Ovis aries: one gene and its partners. The protein of the gene in region 5 purifies or fractionates together with the protein of the main gene of each other region. This does not show direct contact. Links are inferred from orthologs where the notes say so. Each region holds a gene or a part of one and is shown on either strand. Other genes may lie near its edges. The genes, in order: SIRT1, KBTBD7, WDR19, IFT140, TULP3 and IFT43.

Evidence for each region.
Region 1: the proteins of TULP3 (region 5) and SIRT1 purify together in Homo sapiens (affinity purification with mass spectrometry; 5 studies listed by BioGRID and IntAct, counting the BioPlex papers as one, with this or other methods). This does not show direct contact. The link is inferred for Ovis aries from reciprocal best matches to the Homo sapiens genes TULP3 and SIRT1.
Region 2: the proteins of TULP3 (region 5) and KBTBD7 purify together in Homo sapiens (affinity purification with mass spectrometry; 3 studies listed by BioGRID and IntAct, counting the BioPlex papers as one, with this or other methods). This does not show direct contact. The link is inferred for Ovis aries from reciprocal best matches to the Homo sapiens genes TULP3 and KBTBD7.
Region 3: the proteins of TULP3 (region 5) and WDR19 purify together in Homo sapiens (affinity purification with mass spectrometry; 5 studies listed by BioGRID and IntAct, counting the BioPlex papers as one, with this or other methods). This does not show direct contact. The link is inferred for Ovis aries from reciprocal best matches to the Homo sapiens genes TULP3 and WDR19.
Region 4: the proteins of TULP3 (region 5) and IFT140 purify together in Homo sapiens (affinity purification with mass spectrometry; 5 studies listed by BioGRID and IntAct, counting the BioPlex papers as one, with this or other methods). This does not show direct contact. The link is inferred for Ovis aries from reciprocal best matches to the Homo sapiens genes TULP3 and IFT140.
Region 6: the proteins of TULP3 (region 5) and IFT43 purify together in Homo sapiens (affinity purification with mass spectrometry; 5 studies listed by BioGRID and IntAct, counting the BioPlex papers as one, with this or other methods). This does not show direct contact. The link is inferred for Ovis aries from reciprocal best matches to the Homo sapiens genes TULP3 and IFT43.

What each region holds. Positions count from the first base shown.
Region 1 is NC_056078.1:23,633,183-23,637,391, reverse strand, and holds the start of SIRT1 (NAD-dependent protein deacetylase sirtuin-1), read right to left. Parts: upstream 2,801-4,209; 5' UTR 2,735-2,800; coding exon 2,350-2,734; intron 1,061-2,349; coding exon 944-1,060; intron 1-943. UniProt on the Homo sapiens protein: NAD-dependent protein deacetylase that links transcriptional regulation directly to intracellular energetics and participates in the coordination of several separated cellular functions such as cell cycle, response to DNA damage, metabolism, apoptosis and autophagy.
Region 2 is NC_056063.1:11,789,708-11,793,789, forward strand, and holds the start of KBTBD7 (kelch repeat and BTB domain-containing protein 7), read right to left. Parts: upstream 2,801-4,082; 5' UTR 2,521-2,800; coding exon 478-2,520; 3' UTR 1-477. UniProt on the Homo sapiens protein: As part of the CUL3(KBTBD6/7) E3 ubiquitin ligase complex functions as a substrate adapter for the RAC1 guanine exchange factor (GEF) TIAM1, mediating its 'Lys-48' ubiquitination and proteasomal degradation.
Region 3 is NC_056059.1:59,081,808-59,085,748, forward strand, and holds the start of WDR19 (WD repeat-containing protein 19), read left to right. Parts: upstream 1-1,141; 5' UTR 1,142-1,178; coding exon 1,179-1,184; intron 1,185-3,941. UniProt on the Homo sapiens protein: As component of the IFT complex A (IFT-A), a complex required for retrograde ciliary transport and entry into cilia of G protein-coupled receptors (GPCRs), it is involved in cilia function and/or assembly.
Region 4 is NC_056077.1:1,755,934-1,759,433, reverse strand, and holds part of IFT140 (intraflagellar transport protein 140 homolog), read left to right. Parts: intron 1-1,148; coding exon 1,149-1,370; intron 1,371-3,500. UniProt on the Homo sapiens protein: Component of the IFT complex A (IFT-A), a complex required for retrograde ciliary transport and entry into cilia of G protein-coupled receptors (GPCRs).
Region 5 is NC_056056.1:212,688,177-212,691,582, forward strand, and holds part of TULP3 (tubby-related protein 3), read right to left. Parts: intron 2,118-3,406; coding exon 2,005-2,117; intron 1,779-2,004; coding exon 1,664-1,778; intron 270-1,663; coding exon 171-269; intron 1-170. UniProt on the Homo sapiens protein: Negative regulator of the Shh signaling transduction pathway: recruited to primary cilia via association with the IFT complex A (IFT-A) and is required for recruitment of G protein-coupled receptor GPR161 to cilia, a promoter of PKA-dependent basal repression machinery in Shh signaling.
Region 6 is NC_056060.1:85,547,911-85,551,169, reverse strand, and holds the end of IFT43 (intraflagellar transport protein 43 homolog), read right to left. Parts: intron 1,829-3,259; coding exon 1,756-1,828; intron 1,515-1,755; coding exon 1,439-1,514; intron 1,056-1,438; coding exon of another isoform or gene 955-1,055; coding exon 892-954; intron 763-891; coding exon 643-762; 3' UTR 501-642; downstream 1-500. UniProt on the Homo sapiens protein: As a component of IFT complex A (IFT-A), a complex required for retrograde ciliary transport and entry into cilia of G protein-coupled receptors (GPCRs), it is involved in ciliogenesis.

The DNA of each region.
Region 1 (4,209 bases), on a different chromosome or scaffold from region 5:
AAAACCTAAAAAAATATAACTTAAATACAACAGATGTACAAAAGGGCTCTGCAAATCAATAAAGATCTTACCCATCCTGAAAGCCCACACTATTTATCATTAAAAACACAAAGAAAATGAAATCTATCCTTAACTACTATCTTTAAAATGTTCCCAGTAATAATCTTCAATTTAATCTTAACCTGTCTTTGCAATGATGCATATAATGCTAATGTTCTAAGCTTTAATAATTCTTTGCCCTAAATTTCTTAATCAGTTCCTAGCTTAAGAAAACCAAAAATACAGTCAATATAAACACTAAGAGAAACTAATCATCACGATCTTGAAATAGTCAAGGCATTTCTGGAAAAATGAGAGCACATTAAGAAAAAGAATATTTTGAGATGGTCATGTTACTACTTCGATATAAAAATCTCATAGTATTCTCTACTTCAAAATACTTTCCCATTCCATCAAAATACTTAGTATTTACTGAGGGCAAATTTTTCCAGGCACCGACTAAACAGTATACAAATCAGTCAGAAATCCCTGGCCCCCATGGGACTCTATATTCTAATGCAGGAAACCAGCAATAAAAGTTATACACAGAAATTGTCAAGCAGTAAGTGTTAAGAAGAAAAATTATAGAAGGATATGAAGGAGGAAGCAAGATACTTTGGAGGATGACCATTCCATATGGAGGGTACAAGTGGAAAGGACCGTTTAAGTGTGAGGACCTGGTTTTTGAGAAATTACACAGGCCAGCTTCCATGGGCCCATGCTGTTTAACAAACAAAAACAGAACAAAGTACTAGACTTCCCCTAAAAACCAAGCTGACATTAAATCTCAGTAAACGCCTAAGAACCTCATCACAAGACAATAAGGGAAGAAAGAAATATAGTTTTCCTCGACATAAAAAGAAAATATCAGAGAAAAGATAGCTCTTAACCTGTGAAACCATACCTATCCGAGGTCTTGGAGTCCAGTCACTAGAACTCGCATGCGAGGCTCTATCATCTTCGTCACTTTCGCACGAATGGAAACCGTTGGTGATGATTTCATCACCAAACAGAAGGTCATCTGCAAAAGAAACCAAAGGTAACTCAAGGTTGTGGAAACAATCTGCATCTAAAATTATAAAGCTCTGTAATTATTGTGATGCAACAATTTCCAATGAATAAAGCACTCATACTGCCCGCGTAAAAAATGTCTACTGGATCAACTCACACCGTTCACAGGAACAGTATATCCTCTTTAGGCATTCTGCTCAGAAGCTAAGTTTCATCAAAATCTAGAAATAAGTCTACTTAATCAAAACACAAAAAGTAGCAACCTTGACTGAATTTATCGATCACAAATAGTGGTTCATAAAACTTACCAAATAAAAAGTTACCCAAAAAGTCATGCAAACACAGCTATGGCAACTTGCACTCTCTTATATAACGCAAAATCTACAAAGGTACCTTTGCATTATTCGTTTCCCTTATTAAACTATGTTTCTTGAAAACAGTGTCGTTTTTCTAATCCAGTCCCTAATGCACACGTTATCTTTACATATAGTCAAATGGTCCACTGGTTGGATTTATTAGTACAAATAATGGAGAGGCATATCTATCTAGATAAAAACTATGAAAACACTGAAGGATGACGAGACACACAACTATCACATCTACTTTAGCATGTCAGAAAAATGTCAATTCGTGTTTCAGGGTTACATATACACACACGAAGACAGTTACTGTAAAAACCACTATAAGAACACGATTAGAGGAAAAACACTATTCACGGCAAAGTAGTCTAAAAAACTATTACTCTCCTATGCCCACTATTAATTGCACCACAGAAGGGTAATGTCTTTATAAACACCTATGCTCTTTAAAATTTAAAACAAGTTTGAAAATAGAGGCCCTCCTAAAAACCCCAACAAATTTCGCAGGCAATGGCAAAAGCTGGCGCAAGGGACAGTCAAAAAGTTGCAGGTTGAAGTGTGCGGGACGGGGAGAGGCGGAGAAGCGAACAGCATTTAACAAAAGCAATACACTAAAGGAGTAGGAGGGGAGAGAAACTTATTTTAAAACCGACAGCGAGGGTAGCCCGCCCCGCGGCTGCGCAAAACGCGAGGCCGCTGGGGCGGGCCGCGGGGAGGAAGGTGGGGGTGGCACAGAGCAAGGGAGGGAGCGAGTCCGCGGGCCGCTCCCGCAGCCCAGCCCTCAGCCCCGCAGGCGCGCGGCTGAAGGCCCAGGTCGGCAGGGGGAAGGCGCAGAGCCAGGCCCGAGCCCCCAACCCGCCCGAGACTCCACCACCCGACAGGAGGGGCCCCGGGAGGAGGAGGGGGGATGCGCAGTCCCGGCCGCCCGCGCCCTGCGCACCTCGGTACCCAATAGCCGCCGCCGCCGCCTCTTCCTCCTCCTCGCCCTCGTCGTCGTCGTCGTAGAAGTCGTCGGCCGGTGGCGCCTCCCGGGATAGGCCCTGTAAGCCCGGCCCATTGTCTCCTTCTCCGGCCGCCGCCGCCGCCGCCTGGGCCTCCAGCCACAGCGCCGCCGCCGCTGCCGGGCAGCCGCCGGCCGCCGCCGGCAGTTCCCGCTCGGGGGCCGTCCCGCCGGGCTCGCCCGGGCCCCGCCCGAGGCCGGGGCCGTCTCTTCGCGGCCTCTTGCGGAGCGGCTCCCCAGCAGGCGGCGACGGGGCCTCCCTCTCAGCCGCCACTACCGAGGGGGAGCCGCCGGGCTGAAGGGCGAGCGCCGCCTCGTCCGCCATCTTTCAACCGCCTCTCTGGCCCTCCTCCCTCGCCTCTTCTGCTCCCGCTCGACTCGCGGCACTGGCGCCCCCGCGGCTCCGGCTGCGGGAGATTTAAACCCCGTCACGTGACGCGCCGCTCCTCGCCCCCGCCCTCCCGCCGCTCCCGCCACCCACGCGGGCCGGACCACAACACCGCGGGTCACGTGGCAGGCGGAGGCGGCGTGGGCCTGGAGGAAACCCCGCCTTGGGTGCTGCGGCCCCACCCCTTGGAGGCCGGCGCGTCTCGCAGCCAAACTTGTCTTTCAGTCTTCAAATCAGTGCCCGCGGGTTGGTTCAAGTTTTGCTCTGCGCCGCGAGTTTCCACTTCTGCGTGAAGAGCACGCCTTGCTCGACTGCCTTTGTCTTTTCTTGACTTATGCTAAGGGTTAATACTAAGTTCCTGAGCGGCGTTAAGGCTAAGCTTCCCGAAATGTGCTAAGTAATCGGTCAGTTTGTTAACGGACAAGTGAAGTGAAGTTCGCTCAGCCCTGTCCACCTCTCTGTGACCCCGTGGACTATACGGTCCATGGAATTCTCTAGGCCAGAATACTGGAGTGAGTAGTCTTTCCCTTCTCCAGGTGATCTTCCCAACCCAGGGGTCGAACCTAGGTCTCCCGCACTGCAGGCGGATTATTTACCAGCTGAGTTACAAGAGAAATAGAGGCAAAAGCACGGTTCACTTGTCAACCTCCACACCCCATTCGCACAGCTTCTCTTTGGCTCCCTTTTTCTCTTTGCTTTTGTCTTTAGATTATTGCTATTTCTTCCTCTCTCCATCCCTTGTAGGGCGGTGTAGATTGTCCCTCAAAGGCATGTGTGCGTCCTGCAAAGACCTTTGAGGCGGAGGGATGATCAGCCTACCTGCTTCGTGGTCCCAGCTTGGCTCCAAATGTGTGATTTCCCTCGTATAGGTTTCATAAAATGAGTATATCGGCTCAAGTGGAGTGGTATGAAGATAACTGGGCTGAACATGACTTGGCCGCTACAAACATGTAGATTTGGGTAAGAATTTGAGATCCTTCTAGCGTGAGAAGTTTAGCTTTTCTGTAAAATGGTTAATAAGTATTTTGTAGGGTTTTGATGAGAATTAAAGATAGCCAGATGTAAAGTGAAGGGTGTACATAGTAGCCAAAAATATTAATTCCTTGCCTACTTGAAGTCCCTCTTCTGTTTTTTCCTGAAATTTTAGGACTCTCACTCCACATCTAGCCTTAACTGAGAACCCGTATGATACATGGCAGACCCAGAGCCTAACTTCGTAGGCATCTGTTTCTGAAACAAAGCACTTCTACCCCCTTAAGGGGTAGTGAGTTTATAGTTTATCAGTCCGTAAGCTTTAAGTGGGTCCTGTCTATACAGTGACAATTACTGTTTGAACTTAACGCAACTTAAGGTGTTTCATCCTTTTAAAAAAACAGTTCTAATTTTGAAAATGTAACTGGAAGGTCCCATCT
Region 2 (4,082 bases), on a different chromosome or scaffold from region 5:
TTTCATTATTCAGAAGATAGAAATCTTCAAAACCCTGCCAACAATTTCTAGTCCAATTTTCTACACAAAAATGAAAAAGCTAACTTCCCCCCCACAACACTAAACAGAATTTAAAAATGAACAGAAGACTAAATTAGATAATCAAAATATAAACCGTGTAATTAATGAAAACAATTCACTAGTGCAACAAATTCTTGAACACAGAAAAAAAACCAGCAAGCATTCTAATCAATTACATGGTTCATTTTTTGGGGGGGGGGAGGCATATTTTAATCTCAACTTTCAGCACAGTAAATTATATAGCTGATTTCATGGACTGTTTACATTTTATAACATTACATTAGCAACTCAAACATTACCCTTTCTAAACCAAATATGCAATCCTAATCAAAGTTTTCTTTTTTCCCCAGAAAAAGGAAAGGACATCTTTTTAAGATATATTCATAGCAATAGAAACATCTTAGTATTTCAAAATATTTACAAAGAACCCTGCTGATCCTGTGCATTTCGCTGAGGGGCTACCTGTACCCAGACTTCATCATCAGAAAAAGAACTTGAACTTCCTGACTCAGAGTCCAGTTCACTGAACCCATCTAAGTCCCATTCAGTACTAGACTCACTCCGTGCATCATCTTCCTCAGTGATGAAACTCTGACCAGGTTCAAGGCAGGAAGGATAAACCCGAGCACAGAGACAAATAAAGCCAGAGTCAAACTGCAGAAGACCTAACATGGTCCCTATATTAATCCACTGGTCTTCCCTTGTATCATATTCATACACAGTTACCCGGTTTTTTTTCCACTGAGGGGTTGTAGAAGTGATGAGGAGCAACTTTTGGCCATGATTGACAATCTGGTAGTTGTGGGTCTCCGAGTCCAGGGGAATATTGCTAATACGCCTCCATTCTCCCCGGGCTGGGTTATACACCTTCATGACTGGGATGTCACAGATGCAGTAGATCTCATCATTGAAGACACAGGCTTCCTGAAAGTCACTCCGTTTAAGAGAAGCACAGTTCAGCCACATATTATGGCTAGGATCATAGCAGAGCATGCGCTTACTATTCACAGCATAAAGATAGTTCTGAACCACTATGAGTTCAAAGGAATAGAAGGAATGTGGTACAGGAGCCACTAAGGCCCACTGGTTCCTCTGAACACTGTAGCACTCCACTTCCTTTAACTTCACTCCAGTAATGGGGTCACGCCCACCCAGGATGTAGATGTAGCCATTGAGGTATGCCACGTCCATGCCCTCCCGGCAGAGCAGGCGGTCGGCAAGTTGCTGCCAACTATTCTGGGCTGGTTTATACACCCAGAGATCCTTCCTGGGCTGGGCAGCTAGATAGATGTCATGGTCTGGAGAGACACAGACAGCTGAAGAGGTGACAGTCTTAGTGTGAGCCAAACTGGTCAAAGGTGATGGCATTGTGTAAATGTCCCCCGAGTATGGATCATAGCACAGAAAGGGATCTCTGGGATGGCCAAAGAAGATGACCATCTCCTTGGCACACATACCCAGCCTCTGGGGTGGATTTTCTGCTATGGACACAACAGAGCTACTGCTGCTGCTCTCTGGCTTGGGCACCAGGGACTTGCACAACATGTCACCATATCGCATCTGCAGGGCCCCTTCAACAAGGTCCAGACAGTACTTCTTTACAATGGGCTTGGTCAGCAGCTCTTCCACGTAGCCCCGATCTTCGTCAGTGAAGTGGGTCCAGCGGACACACTTGAAGACTTCTGCAGCGCTGGGACCCCGCTCCTTGGGAGCCGCCTCCAACCACTGCACCGCCACGTGACACACGGTCCGCTCACTCTCGATGTCTAGACTGTCCAGGCGCAGGACAGCTAGCAGCTGGGCCAGGGTCAGATCTGCCAGCGACTCTTCCCGAATCGAACCCATTCGGCTGAGCTGCTTGAAGTTGTGGGCTATAAAGGACTGGGCCTGTGATCGCAGCTTGTGATGGTCGAAGGCGTCGGCGAACTTGAGGATGGCCGTGCAGTTGGCCAGGTCAAGGCGGCGGGCTAGGAAGGAGGCACAGGCTTCCCGCACGTACTCCAGCTGCAGCATGTCGGAGGCCGCGTAAAGGCGCTGCACGTTGGCCTCACTTAATGACACGCGACCGGTGTAGCAGTAATCGACCAGCACCTCGAAGGACTCGGCGTCCACGTCGTGCATGGTCACGTTCGTCTGATGGCTCTCGTACATGCCGCCGGTGAACATGCTCTTGAAGTAGGGACACGCGGCCGCCAGCACGTTACGGTTGCAGGAAAAAAGGCGGCCCGTGCCAGGCCCGCTGCCGGGGGTGACCACCTCGATGGTCACATCACAGAGCAGCCGCGCGTCGTAGAAAGACTTGAGCTGGGCCAGCAGGGCTGCAGAATGGCCCGTGTCCTTCAGCTCCTCCGGGCCCGTGAAAAAAGCCGAAACTGAGGGCTTGGAAATCCTCTTGGGACGCCTCCCGCCGCGGGGACTGGCGAGGCGGCGAGAGCGCGGAGCTTCTTCCCGGGACTGCATGGTGAAGAGGGCGGCGGGGAGAGAAGGACGAGAACCGGGCTCTGGCGCCTCCTCGCTCTCTTTTCGCTGACGCCGAGACCGCTGTGTCCCTGAAAAGACTGCCGCGCTGACTTAAGTCAGCCCCGCTCCGCGGTGCCGCCTCCCTTTATCGCGTAGACAGTGCCTGACTCACCCGGTTCCAGTTCCACGCCCTTTCTCCGCCTCAGCTCGCCCTCACAGGACCTACAAACTGGAACCAAGCGGTCCGCCACCGCCGCGCTGGCAATACCGGTAGGTGCCTAGGAGAACTACAGCTCCCAGGTTGCCTTTCGCGCCTCGAGGCATGCCGGGACCCCGCGGACTCTGCGGCTTAGGCCGCCTCACAGGAGCCGCTGTGCATGTTGGGATCAGTAGTTCCAGTAATATCGCGAGGCTTCTGGGGGTCTACTGCTTTAACTAACAGAATCAGCAAGCGTTTATTCCAGATTTGATGGTTTAGAGCTGTGGGTTTGAAGTCTAGAGTGGAAGTCCCGTTTTAATATTCACCAGTTGTGTAAATTTTTTGTCAGAACTTTTCCCTGTCTGGAAATTGGGCATAATAGTATTTCATAGGATTCTGGGAGAATGGAATGATCTAAATTTCATAGGACATAGGATGCTTCAATAAATACTTGTTGATTAGATTAATAATTGTTTACACTGTGACTAAAATGCAAATATTGAGTAACTGTTGGCTTTTCATTTAGAATTTATGAAAAATGAGGCATCCACTTATTCGAAACCATGAGCAATTTCTACAAAGAAAACTGTGTTTACTGTTGCTTCTTGTAAGGCTCGGAGAACCGCGCTCTGAAAGGAACATTCAGGGACAGCCTCTAGTGGACTGACAAAGTTGATTATCCAGCTGCGCAGTTTTATAATTCTCAGGGAATAGAGCATAAGGCAGACTTGCACGTAGCCATTCCAGATAAACATTAAAGCATTCAAGCATAAAATACAGTTCCCACCACCTAAGACATAACGTGACTTTGGCAAAACTCTAAAGGGAGTCTTATCGTGAAACAACAGTCCTTGCTCCCAGGAAACAGGTGGTCATAAGGAAGCCTTTGAACGCTTCAAGGCCGGGCGTACTGACCCTTCGTCATCCGTTTCCAGCCTCAGGCACTCGATGCACGCTCATAACCCTCCGTTATGCTCGTTCCAGCTCCCAACCTTCGTCATAAGTGGAGCAAATACATTTTCCATGTCTGCTCAAAGCCTTCCAGCTCCTCCTTATCTCCTCCCTTTTTCCTTAAGAGCAAGGACTGCTGCAGCCACAGTTACTCCTGTTTTTTGGACGGAGGTGACTCGGGCACATAACGTTCGGAATCCTACAAGAACAATAACAAACAATAAACAGATCAGCGCATAAGTAGCCATCGTATGGGGTACCCAATTTTTTGGATTTAGAAAGGAGGTACTAGTGGATAGTGCATTATAGAAGTCAGTGTTCTATAACACAGGGGGAATGCTGCTGAAGGTAGATGTGATTTGTTGCTTCAATTTTTCTATATCTAGACTGTTTGATTTTGAACCTAAAAGAT
Region 3 (3,941 bases), on a different chromosome or scaffold from region 5:
GAAGCCCCTGTGGTTAGGTTGTACGCACTGTGTGCCTAGGGCACATGTGCAGGAGTTAGAAAAGTCTCTGTGGTTATTTCTATAGCATCTGTGAATTTTCCTGAGTGTGTCTGGGAGGGGTTTTAGAGATCAGCTTGCATCCTTTTTGGCTAGGCCACTCCTTGTTGCACATGCCTAACTTGCTACCTAACAGTACTAACCACTCTAAAAAATGTGCTTTATTATTTGACCTAAATAACTGTGTCAAATACACATATATCATAATTATAAACACAAAGTAAAACTCGTATACACAGGGACAAAAACTAGAGAGAACTATAGCACCCTAATTAATACATTGATGTGAGACTTCATGTTTCTTTTCTCTTTTTAACTAATTTAATTCTCCCATATCGGCTAAACATAATACATACAAATTCGTAAGCTTTTCTCCTGTTAACTGGCCTTCTGTCAGTTTAATTCTCAGCCCCTAAAATTAAGTTTCTCCCTCTTAACATTCCCTAAATCTAATAAGTCCCATTCACTCTGTTTTAATTATTATCAATACAAAAACAATTTCCGAATTTCTACTTGTCTAACCTTTTTCTCCTTCACCCAATCACCTATTTAAGACATCTCCGATTAAATGTGTGGGTCTTGCAGCCAAATTTAAATATCTGAAGACACAAACATATTCCCAGCCAAAATCAGCCTCCAAATTGAATATCCTTTGAACAGCTGCAGTGTGAGCTCTTTGCGTGAACTGTGTAAGAGTACTGCCCCAGAAATCAACTCCCGCCTCTTCTTATACAACACTCAGCTCCTTGAAGTTCTCAGCGACTCTACTCGCCACCACTGATTTCTTTGTAGTCAGGGCCTAAGTTTACGCCGGCGGCTTCCACATCTCACAGAACTCTCCGGTGTCATCCAATCAGGGCCCAAGTAGAAAGCCAAAGCTCAGCAACGCCTCACGACGTTCAACTACTCAGGGCCTTGCTTCGCTGGCATCACGTGACTCAAGTCCCCGCCTCCCGCCCACTCCCTCCGTGGTTGTTTGGGGGCACCGCCCTTCAGCTGGCGCCCGCTGATTGGTTATTGCTCGCGCGGTCTCCTGGGTGACGGGAACGCGGTGGCTTTCTTGATGAAGACCGGGTGCGCTTGCGCACTTGTTAGATCGCGCGGCTGCTGGATCTTTTGAGATGAAGGTAAATAACTTACAAACCCGGGGGTGCGGGAAGATGCGACCACTGGCCAGTCCCTTAAACTCTCCGAGAGTCACTTTGAGGATAGAGGCTTGTGACCTTCCTTCCTTCTCCCGAGTGCTTGAGAAATGGGGAAGGGAGCGGGGTGACCCGGGAGAGCAGAGGCGAAGTTGAAGAAATAAGGGCAAAGGAAGGAAAATTGAAGAGACGGCGGGGAGGGAGGCCTCTCATTTCTGGGACCGCGGACGGAGTTGGTGCGTTTTGGCCACCCCTCCACTGCTGGAAATGAGCAGACTGGATCTGAAGAGACTCCGAATTCGCCCCAATTCACACGGCGGGCAGAACGAGTTTGGGGAAAAAAGCGTTTGGAGGATCCTTGTGAAGTTGGCTCGTTCGAGTGTCAGGAGCTGCCTCATTTCTTGCAGCTAAACACCTGGCAAGCCTCGCAGCTCTTCAGCTCCTTAAAATGAGTGAAAAGCTCCGAAAGAATCTCAAATTGTATTGGCTGTGACTGGCGCAATTTACAGATCATCTGCTGACGGTGTATATTATTCACGGGGAAATCTGCATGCACGGGTCTCAATCTCTAGAGCGTCATCCTTTGCATGCACCGTTTTTAGGATTGGGCTTCTTATGAACCCCATTCCCGGGTCACTGGCTACAGCTCATTCACCCATCGCCTTACCAAACAGCACCCCCGCCCCGCTCCTAGTGCCCCCTACTCCCCAACACCCCACCTCCCCACCGCCCCCCCCCCCACCACACACAGGCCCTGATCTGGCATAGAAATGGAAAGCTTAATTTTTTTCATTGTTTTGTACATTTTCGTGGCTATAGTGGAAATTGGAGTTGACCTGTAATCTTAATTCACATTTCTAAAGCTCTTCGCCATTTACGAAATACTTGTAGCTCAGTTGGTAAAGAAAATGCCTACAGTGCGGGATACCTGCATTCGATTCCTGGGTTGGGAAGATCCCGTGGAGAAGGAAATGGCAGCCCACTCCAGTATTCTTGCCTGGAGAATCCCATGGACTGTAGCCTGCCAGGATCCTCTGTCCATGGGGTCGCAAAAGTCCTACACGACTTAAGGACTAAACCATCAGTGTAAGGAGATATTGTTATTCCTGGTTTACAGTTGAGAATTCTGTGCCTGAGGCCATTTAATAGACCTGCTTTAAGCCCTACAGCTAATAAGTGAAAAGCAAAATCTGGAGTTCCCTGGTGATATTCCTTTCTTTCACTGTCAAGGGCCCAGGTTAGTTACCTGGTTAGGGAACTAGGATCCCACAAGCCATGTGGGTGGCCAAAAAACAATTGTATTAAAAAATAAAGATTGAAAAAAAAAAGATCGAAAGAAAAAAAAAAGCAAAGTCTAAGGGTTCGTTTTCTGGTTGTGAAGCTAGCACCCTTTTATGGGGTGTTGTATGTGTATAGAGCACCTGTTGACCTCCTTCGAAGAAAAATAGTATGTAAAATCACAACCAGAGGAGATCTACCAAGAAGCTAGTGACATTCAAATTTAGGGCACCCTCACTTGCATATAGGGGTTCCAGGGCAATGTGGTCATAAAATCGCAAAAGTAAAATGCTTTTATGCTTTTTTTTTTTAAAGGGTGTCCTTGCTCCACACAACTTGGATGCACCTGTGATTATAGGCACCTCTGTTTTCAGTAGAGGTGGATTTGATCATCTTTTTAACGTAGTAATTGCCGGTGATTGGTATAAAATTTAGACCATTGGAAGAGTTTTGTGTTACCATTGAGACTGTCACACCACCTGCAATTGTATCTAAACTTCACTTGCCTCAATATAGGCATCATTGTTTAATTTTTAATTTAACCTAATGTTAAAATGTAAATTCATTCATTCAAACTCTTATGGTCCTAGATGTTTTGTATCAACACTGTTTAATATAAATATAATGTAAGCCAATGTACTTTAAAATATTTAGTAGCCACATGACCTAGAGAGATGTTATGGGGAGGGAGGTGGGAGGGGGTTCATGTTTGGGAACGCATGTAAGAATTAAAGATTTTAAAATTAAAAAAAAAAAAAAGAAACAGGTAAGGTTACCTTTCATAATATATTTTGTTTTACCCAGTATATCCAAAACATTATCATTTCAACATGGACTCAGTATGAAAAATTATCAGTAAAGATAGTTTGCCTTCTTTCCTGTATTGTCTTTGTTTTTTTTAATATAAATTTATTAATTTTAATTGGAGGCTAATTGCTTTACAGTACTGTATTGGTTTTGCCATACATTGACATGAATCCACCACAGGGGTACACGTGTTCCCCATCCTGAACCCCCCTCCCCCCCCCTCCCTCCCCATACCATCCCTCTGGGTCATCCCAGTGCACCAACCCTGAGCATCCTGTATCATGCATAGAACCTGGACTGGTGATTCATTTCACATATGATAATATACATGTTTCAGTGCCATTCTCCCAAATCATCCCACCCTCGCCCTCTCTCACAGAGTCCAAAAGACTTCTGTGCATCTGTATCTCTTTTGCTGTCTCGCATGCAGGGTTATCATTACCATCTTTCTAAATTCCATATATATGTGTTAGTATAGTATATTGGTGTTTTTCTTTCTGGCTTACTTCACTCTGTATAATAGGCTCCAGTTTCATCCACCTCATTAGAACTGATTCAAATGTATTCTTTTTAATGGCTGAGTAATACTCCATTGTGTATATGTACCACAGCTTTCCTATCCATTCATCTGCTGATGGACATCTAGGTTGCTTCCAT
Region 4 (3,500 bases), on a different chromosome or scaffold from region 5:
CCCTGGTTTCATAGGAGGTCATGTCACAAGAACCAGGGGTTTAGGAATCAGCTTATCTTTAGGGGCCACACAGCTCCATAACAGGAACTTTCTAGAAAATCCTACTTCACCAAGGAAAATGGATTTCCTTTCCCACCCCCTGCCCCACCCTCCCCCGAAATCTGCCTCTCGTGCTTTGGGTCCGCACCCTCCCATCCCCTCCCCTCACGTAGCACCCTCCTGTGATGTCCTCCGGAGAGCACACCCAAGGGGCTTCCTCACTCAGCTCCCTGCGTCCAGCCTCCCCCGTGCCCGACTGGCCTCCTCTCCCTCCATCTCCTCCTCCTCCTGAGGCTACGTTACCATCTCTTGGGGGACAACTCAGGCCTGCGGTCCAGCCTGCCAGTTCCACTGGACCGCCAAGGAATTCCCTAGATAAAACTTCAAAATTTAGAAAATTTAAAGCACACTATTACAAAACAAACAAGCGTGCTTCGTGTGTTTCTAATTGGTAGAAGGAAAACTGTAGGATTTCAAAATTATGATTTATTCGATGATAAGAAGGTCACAGATGTAGCAGGTATAACTGGAGATTGGTAGGAAGAGCCCAGTAGAAGTGCTGAGAACAGAGTTAATCTCTGAAAACACACACATTTATACTTTTAACCTGCTGCCTTTGAAAATTCTAGAAAACATGAGAATATAAGAGCACATATCTTATTAACTCTTATGGCAATGACATCGTCATATACCACAAAGTTTCCGGAAAACTCCACTGTTCACTTGTGAGAGAATGAGAGTTAACAAGGCAAACCACATCCTAGTATCATTCTGAAAATGACTTTGGCTTTGCAGACCTCAATAAGGTTCTTAGGGTCACCTAGCCACACTTTGAGAACCTTGAGTCAGCACGCTTCACCCACTGGCCCAGCACTTGCTTTTGTAAATAAAGTTTTATTGATAAGCTGGTTTGTGGGGTCTGTTAAATGTTTGCCTTGTGCTGTCATAGTTCAGCTGAGGCAAGATGGGTGTTTCTATGACAATTAAATAGACTGTTTCTTTAATAAGCAGCTTGTTATGTCCTCTACCTGATATCATTCCACTGATGAGGCAGAAATACTTGGTCGTCACCGTTCCCCGTAATAAGGGCTTTACTTTGTGTGTCGCAGGGCGAGTGCGTGCCAGACACCCATGTCGAGAGGTCGTTCCGGGTCACCTCCCTGAGCTGGCACCCGACGCGGCTGATCCTGGCTATTGGCTGGGAGTCTGGGGAAGTGGTCATGTTTAACAAGCAGGACAAGGAGCAGCACGCAGTCCCTGCCACGCACACGGCCGACGTCGCCATCCTCGCCTGGAGCCCCAACGGGAACTGCCTGGTGTCGGGAGACAGGGTGAGCAGCCGCGCGGCGGCCCCCTCGGGGTCGCAGGCTCGCCGTCTGTGCTCTCAGGGACACGGGAGGCCCTCAGGGACCAGGCTATTCGTGATGCATGGTTGCCGGGCTCTGCTGAGCTTGTCAGCTGTCACAAGCTGTGTTTTATGTTGGGAGCAAGATTTGAAAGTTTCATTCTGCCTTCTCACCCTGTGGCAGAAGTGTGCAATTTTGTAAATGAACATCTCTGGATAACTACAGTCACACAGATGGGGTGGTGCCTCAGGTACCCCGAACCCCGGTGTGCCCTCTGAGCACACTGCTTCGTTGCCCAAGAGTCCCTGGTCCCCATCGTCTGGCCTGGGGCCTCCTAAGCAGGTGGACGTGGAGAGATCGTTCGTAGTCATAAGGGAGGGGGTGCTTTCCGCTGGCATCTGGTGGGTGGAGGCCAGAGTCACTGCTCAGCATCTGCCAGCGCTCAGGACAGACCCCACCGCAGAGAATCACCAGCCAGAGACGTCTGTAGGGCCCGGGCTGAGAGGCCTGCTCTAGACCTGTTTGCCCCAAAAGGGACAGTAGAAAGTGTACGGTGTGTTTGTTTCTTTCGCATTTTCAAGGTAATACGTTTGCATGTTTCAGAGCTCAAAAGATGCTAAAAGGCACACACTGCAAACACTCTCCTCACCACCCCCACCCTGCCCCCGGTACCTGCGGCTCCTTCATGTCTCTCTGGGTTCCTACGGGAACACACAGGAGCACGCAGTGCGTTCTCTCCCCAGCTTCCAGTTTTGAAAAATCACCAACGTTAGAGGAAGGAGCACAAGGAGTACCCTTGTGCCCTCACTGTGAGTTCAATAGCTGTTAACATTTTGACACATCGGCTCTCTGGGCGTCTGTACACCCCCGCGTGTTGGGGAGTTTGTCGCAGCCGTCACACTTCACCCCTCGATGCGCTGGCTTCCGTCTCCTCGACACGTGACCACGTTGCTGCCGCACAGGAGGGCGAGGCCCGCACGCTCCCCACCGCGGCCGGTGTGGCGGCTCTCCCTGCCGTCCTGGTAGCCCGTCCTCAGCCGGGGCCGCCCAGCGTGCTCTGCCTCTGCCATCATTCCTCTTTTGTCTCCTTCCGCCGTAACTGGTCTCTGCTCTCTTCTTTCGTCTCTCTCTCTTTTGTTTGGTCTTTCCTGACATCGCCGTTTTGAGGGGTCCAGCTCGTAACTGTGTAGCAAGGCCCTTGGTTCAGATCTGTGTGGCTGTCTCCTGAGCACTGTGAGTGTCTTCACACAGGGGACACCGTCCCCTCCCTGCTTTCCTGGATCCTTGTCACGTGAGCGGCAGCACCCGGCACACACTGTTGCATCTCAGGCTTTCCAGCGGAAGCCGTGCCTTCCACTCTCCACGGCAGCGCACAGCAAGCCTCCTCACGCTCTTTAGACCTGCCCTTTTTGCCACGAACCTGTTATCGTTTGCCTTCGCAGCCCCTGTGGAATAGCAGTCTTCAGTTCTTCGCTGGACGGTGACATGACAGCTGGCCTCATGGTCTTGTCCTTTTGCACGTGCGAACTTTTAGAAAAAGTCCTGGAGGGCGGTGGGACCCAGGGCGTACCCTTGTGGTTTGATCGGTGTGCCCAGAGCTCCCTCCGTGGGGCTTGACTGGCTCACACCAACCCACGCGTGTGTCGTGACCAAGCTCAGGATCTTGTGGGAGAAGTGCTGCCTCAGTTGTGTTCCTTCGCGTGTGTTTCTCTTCCTCCTGAGGGTGAACGTTACCTAGAAAGCCATTTATACTTAATTTCTGCTCACACCACTTCTTCCTTGTTCTACTTGTTCTTTTTTTCCAGACGTTTCTTGGTTTTCTGTTCAATTCACACCTGGTGCCGTTGCACCACCCCAGGCTCCTTCTCCTGTGGGCTCCTACCCCTTCCCCCATGGGGATAAAAGGAGTCATGATCCTTGAACATCACCATTCGCATCTTGAAGAAAGGAGAAACAACTGATGTAGCGGATCACTTAAGCACGACCCGGAGCCCAGGTCACTGCTGACCGAGTTCTGGCGTCAGAGGATTTCAGGACAAAAACACCTGGTCCTTCTCTCAGAAAATCTGCAATTGTGTCCCAGTTTAATACTGGACTCCAACAGGAAGAGACGTA
Region 5 (3,406 bases):
TCTACGGACTTTGTCTGCATCACGGTCTTATTTTTAGGGTCCTCTGATGATTAAATATGTATACCTACGGCTGATTCATGCTGATATATGGCAGAAACCAACGCAATATTATAAAGCGATTATCCTTCAATTAAAAATAAAGACATTAAAAACAAATACACTCTACTTACATTTCGTGGCTGAAAAGGAATCCGTTCATGATTCATATTCATCCCAGGGATGATCACAGACATTTTCCTCGGGCCTTTAAATCCAAGAACATTTGTCTCCTAGAAGAGAGGGAAATAAGCAGGAACTAGAAACAGAAAAGAAAAAGCGACAACATTCTTAACACAAGACTCTGCTGGGCACGCGCAACGTCCACAAGGTGGAGAGCACTAAAAACCATTCACTTACTTCACTGTAGTTAAACAAAGAGATGGGGAATCAAGACCAGGAAAATAATACTGTTTCCTCTTTTTAACCTACTTTGAACATTTGAATTTAAAGCAGATTCTATTATCTAGAAACCTTACTCTTCTTTAGCCTGACGTGAAATTTAAGACAATTTGAGCAAACTGCCCAGTTTTATCATCATCAATAAATATCTATTTCCCAACTAAGGACATGGCACTATATGATATACAGGGAGAATTACAGTTTAACTAAGGCCTATACTTGGAAGTAAAAAATTAAAATGCCTATCAAGCCAAGCAGATTATACATGAATAAGTACATTAAATATGTGGATGTGTATATATTTACATACATATATACATGCATATTAAAGTCATGCATAGTTAAAATATTTAATTGATTCTGAAGCTAAGAGAAAACATACCATAGGTTATAAAGGGTTAAGTCAAATGATTCTCAGTCACACAGATAAAATCTCATGGGAATCAAGTGATGAGATTAATTCCAACTGAAGAAAAGCTGAGACTCTAGGATCAAAGCAACAACTGAGTCGCATTAATTCCTTCTCGCTTCTCTGACTCTGCATGCCCTCTACACGGCGGGTCCAGGTTTGTGCGGAAATAGCAGTGAGCGGGAGTTTACAAAGTGGTCAGAGAAGGATCAGAAGCATGACGAGGGTAGCTCACAGGCTGCGAGAGGAATCGAGGAGAGCCGAGGGGAGCGTCAAGCATGTCCTGTGTGGGGAGAGGCCCCTCTGCAGACCCTGGTGGGCAGGCAGGAGGGGGCGGGCAGGTTTGGGGCGGAGGGAGGGGGCGGCCAGAGAGGAAGGCTGCGGCAGCTCGAGGGGCAGGGAGCGTGCTGCCAGGGGGGCCAGAGGGTGAGGCGGAAGGTCCGGGCTGGACTCTAGATTCGGTGGGGAGCAGCCTGAGAGGCCGCGGAGCGGAAGGACGTCGTCTGCTGGAGCAGGGCCGCTTGGCAGCAGCGACCCACAGCAAGCCAGCTTGGAGACGATGGAAGGAGGGACCAGCTCCCAAGTCACTGTCACCTCCAGCCAGTGTGTCAGCGGGAACGCAGTGAGCACTCACACCACCACGGCACAGGGGAGGGACAAGAGCAGAGGAGACAGGGCCTGCCGGAACAGTAAATACACTGGACTTGGCGGATCACAAGTAAACCTGAGCACACAGGGAAACAAGCATGGCGGGGCGGGAGGGGTGGCAGCCTGTGAGCCCGGGGCTGGTCAGGAGGCCGGCAAGATGGCACTCACGTAGCACACGGCGGCCAGCTCCTGACGCATGTAGGCCTTCTCCACCAGGCCCTGGGCCTTGGCCGGGCTCACACCGTGGTCATACACGGTGAACTTAGTCCCCATGAGGTTGGACCTAGAATCAAGAGGAAAGGTCACCACAGAGCTCTGTAACTTTCTCTCATTTTGAGTCACTCTCTCAAAGATTCATCCTTAAAACATGGAGAGGCCTTGGGCTTTCTATTAACTTATTTCTTTAGATGGCATCAAACCAGGTCACTGTAAAACCAGCGTGGACTTGCTTTGAGACTACAGGAATCAAGCCCCCACAAGAAGAGGACGTGACATGAGGCTGCCCCCACCTGAGCTTGCCAATATAGCTCTCCCCTTCTCGGGACAGGTCTGTGGGGTCCGTGGAGATGAGGTAGTTGGATGTCTTGCTCTTTTTCCGCTTCCTACCTGCAAGAAGAAATATCTAGAAAAGGAAAAAACATTTCAGTAAAAAATGCACTCAAGAGCTGCCAGGTGTGTATGTGTGTCCTACCTATTCAGTGAACAAATATCCAGCAGCTGCCTGTCCTATACCAAGCAGTCCCCCTCTGGGTCTTTTCTATTTTTAAACCGGTTTAATTTGCTTTAACTTTTCTTGTAGAAAAGCCACATGGTGGCTACAGCTGGAGTCCTCTGCACTGAGACTCCAGTGTGGGTCGTGCTCAGCGCATTCTCAGACACTCTCCCTTCAGAGCCTGGGGTGAGGCGGCCCAAGTCTTGGCGACGACATCAGAGATGATTTCAGCACAGCGCCCGGGGCGGCGTGCAGCCCAGCCACAGCACAGCGCTGTTCACGCTGGCCAGCTGGCAGCTTCCAGGCATAGGAGCAGAGGCTATGCTAGGGTCCCAGGGCGGGGGTGAGAGGCGCCAGCCAGGAGCCGAGGGGCCGGTCAGCCTGCAGGATGGAGTGGGGCCTGCTGATCCCACTCCCAGCGGCCTCACCACACAAGGACTGGAGAACCTGGCGAGAACCACGGCCTCACGGATGGCAGCAGTGACCTCCCTGAAGCCCCAAACACCCAGACCAGCCTCTATGCACTGGAACCCCAGTGGTGATGACGCCTGGCCCCTGGTGTGCAGGCTGGCACGTGTTAAACTCATGCATCATATTCAAAACCTAGTCCTGGAAGGGTACTCCCAGGAAGAAGTGAATCATCTCGGGTTCCCAGATGGACAGGCACAAGACGGGGCTTCCGCAGAGCCTGGATGAGGCACCCAGCTGAGCGAGGGGCCCCCACTCCCTGTCCCTGACCTTGCTGCTGTGTGCTCTATGGCCTTGGGCCCTAGGTGCCACGGTGGAAGCCCCTGTGGTCTCCTCTCCCAGGGCCCTGGGGCCTCCAGCCCTTTCGCAGCACCAGCACATCTGCCGTTTGGGGTTTTCTCAGAGAAGACCAATCTCTAGGTCTTACCACTTTTTCTAATCCTGATTATGCCTCTTAGAATTCACCACCAGAGTCTCCCAACTGCCTAATTTTTCTAAATTCACTAGCCTCAGCCTCCACATCATCATCTGTAACTTCACCCCTAAAACCTCCACTGACACTTTATTTATTTGCTTGCACCAGGTCTTAGTTGCGCCATGTGGGATCTAGTTCCCCGACCAGGGACCAAAGCCAGGCCCCCAGCATTAGGAGAGTAGAATCTTAGCCACTGGACCTCCAGGGAAGTCCCACTCCACTGATATTTTAAACAGGCTTCGTGCAGTTTCACGAG
Region 6 (3,259 bases), on a different chromosome or scaffold from region 5:
GGCCCTGGGAACCTGGGGGGACAGAAGGGAAACACGTGCTTTGGGAGCTCCAGGCCTGGGTTGCAGGAAGTAGGAGGGAGGGGCATGCTATCAGAAGAGCCACCGAACCCTGACATGGGCAATGGGGTCACCTTATCACATGTTCTGAGGCTGCCAGGCGACAATCCCTCAGCTAAGTGGCCCTGAAAGCACAAAGGAGACAGTGAAATGTCACCAATGTCACTGACCATCCAAAGGGAGAAAGGCGTCCAGCCAGGCCCTCCCCAGGCCCCCAGCAGGAGATGCTCCCTGGAGCTGCCGTGGCCTCTGTGAACAGAGTGCAGAGCCTTCCCCTTCCTCATCTAGCTTTCCCTCCTGCTCTTCAGCGATGGGGCGAGTTCCCATCACTGGCTCAAAAGATGCCTTTCTTCACCCCTGATGCATTTTTCCAGAGGGCGGTGCAAACGAATGGAAGAGAGGGTTACAGAGCAAAAGCAATTTCTTGCCACAGAACGATGCAATTTCTTACAAGAGAAAATATTTTTATTACAAAATAGTCCATATATAAAAATCCCGAGCCTCTTGAGAGCTTCTTTAGGTTTATGGCCTTTTCTTCAAGTCCAGAGCGGAGGTGTGTGCGTGCAGGGAAAGCAACTCCACGGCTCAGGTGTGTGCGGGCCGCCCCACGGGGCCTTCCTTGTCTGTCTGCAGTGCGTCCCATTCGTTGAGGAGCTCGGAGGACACCTCTGTGTACAGATGGTCCCAGTCCCAGCTGACATCGTCCTGCCGAGAGAGGCATCCTGGGGTGAGACGGGGGAGGCCCTCCCCTCGGGCACAGCCAGCCTCCCACCAAGGTCAGCCTCGGGGCCCGCTGCTCACGGCCGAGGGGCAGGACCTGCCGCTGCCACGTACCTCTCGAACCTCATGCTCTGGCGCCAGGACTTTGGTGAGGAGCTTCAGGTCAATCTCTCCATCCTGTGAATGTCGGGGCAGGAGGGGGTACGTGTACTGTGGGGCCTTTGGACAATGACCTCTGGGGACCAAGTTGAGTGGGGTAGAACTTTCCAACCCCAGGCCTGCAGGAACACCTTGTGAAACAGCAAACTTGTGGGTGGACCACATGGCCACTGAGAGCTGGGGTGGGCACCACGATGTCCTACGGGCTGGGCACTCCTTGGGGCAAAGTGAACACCTGGGAGGGGCAGGCATGATGCAGCACGTCTACCGATGCCAAGAGGGCAGGCGGGGGCACGGGGGAGACTGGCCCTGAGAACACTGGGATAGGCTGGGTCCAGGGAAGCTCTAATACCCGAGGAGGATGTCTCTGGCAAAGGGCTTGTCGCCTGGCAGCCTCAGAGCCTCACGGAGGAGGGGCTGCAAGGCCTGGGAGAAACTGAGAAATTTCTGCAGATGTCGGTGGGCGCCTGCCCCTCTGTGTAGCAGCTGTCCGTCCACTCACCAAGGTCTGAAAGGCTGAGTACTTCATGAGGTCATTGTCCAGGTCACGGTAGGTCATCACTCGGTTGACCTGGATGCTGTGGGAAAGACAGAATGTGGGCAGGAACCGACGCCAGCCATGCTGCCAGGCCGCCATGCCCAGAGCCTCCTGGGTAGCTGGGAAGGACCAGAATGGGGAAAAAATGTGCAATAAAATGGGAACCCTGGGATGGGGCCCACACTAGAGACGTGTGGATCTCCCCAAGGGGGCAGCATCACTGCTGATGGCGCCTGGCACGTTCCCCAACCTCCCTCCAACTTCAGGCGAATATAACACACCTGGGAGGGGCTGCCACCTGCAAGACGAAGTCTTCCTCCTGTACCTCCTCCAGGTCCGGAATAACAGGGATATCTGCAACCAGAGGGTAGGCCAGACTATCAGCAGCGTGAGTGGGGGTCTAGCCTACTTCCCCACTGACGACTTAGCAGCTCCAACGCCCTGGCCACCGTAAGGGCTACAGGCTTTGGGTAGAACGGACACTCAGATGGTCTCCAGCCTCCAGCACCGCCTCCCCCCCCCCCCCGATTCAGGGTGATGGAACTGAACTTGAGGTGTGCATGAGAATCGAAGGTGGAACTTCAACAATTTCCGAATCTCAGGCTTTACTACCCCAGAACCTGCAGGAATTAAAGTTTCCTGGGTGGGGCCTGGGAGGCTGAATTTTCCCATAAGATTTCTTGGGTGGTCTTGACATTTGGTCTATGTTAGGAGCCATGGGAGAAGCTCTCCAAGGAGAAATGTAAGGAAATGAGAAGAAAGTCCTAGACAGCCCTGGGGGGAAGCACTTAGAGGAGAGGAAGGAAAAGAGGAGCTGAGTGAGCCTGGCGTGGTCAGAGACAGAGGAACGGGGAACACGCCCTGTCACCAGGCAGACGTCTTCATGAGCGCACTTCCTCACGACCAAGGCCCATGCGTGCATCAGATCGTCCTAGTCTTCACAACCATCACAGCCCTGAGTCTGTATCTGCAAGGTCACTTTACACCTAATGATGTGACCTGGCTTCCCGGCAGCGTACAGGACCAGCAGCTCCACTGAAAGTGAAGGTCACTCAGTTGTGTCCGACTCTTTGCAACCCCATGGACTATACAGTCCATGGAATTCTCCAGGCCAGAATACTGGAGTGGGTAGCCGTTTCCTTCTCCAGGGGATCTTCCTGACCTAGGAATCAAACTGGGGTCTCCTGCATTGCAGGTGGATTCTTCACTAGCTGAGCTATGAGGGAAGCTCGCGTCTCCATTGGCCAGGTCTAATATCCTAAACAGTGCTGACTCGAAAGATGACGCTGCTCTTGCTGTCTCCTGGAGATTCTTCTTTTCTGAATTCTCTGTATGAGACGGACATACAGACACAGGAGGAGACACGAGGCCATTCCTTTCGTCAATCTAACACGCTCACGCGAAGGAAGAAGCAGAGAGACAGCACGTCACTTAACAGCGGCAACTTGCTCACAGCAGAGAAACCAGCCCTCTTCTCGAGCACCCTAAGGAGGGACTGCCTTCTCTCAGGGAGCATCACTGACTGGTAGAGGGGGTGCCTTTGTTTTAACTAGTCTGCACAGAGATAAAGAGAGATGGGACAGAGAAAAAAAAAAAGGTGAAGCAAGGAGAGACAGTCCTGGAAGTCCCAAACCAACTACAAATATTAAAAATTCCAGAGAGGCGAGAATAGTGAAGACACCCTTCCTTTTTGCTTCTATGGACTAAATCAACTTTTTTTTTTTTTTTTTTAAAGAGATACAGAATCATTCCAAGAGCAGCTGGAAAGGACCCTTCCCACTTTCA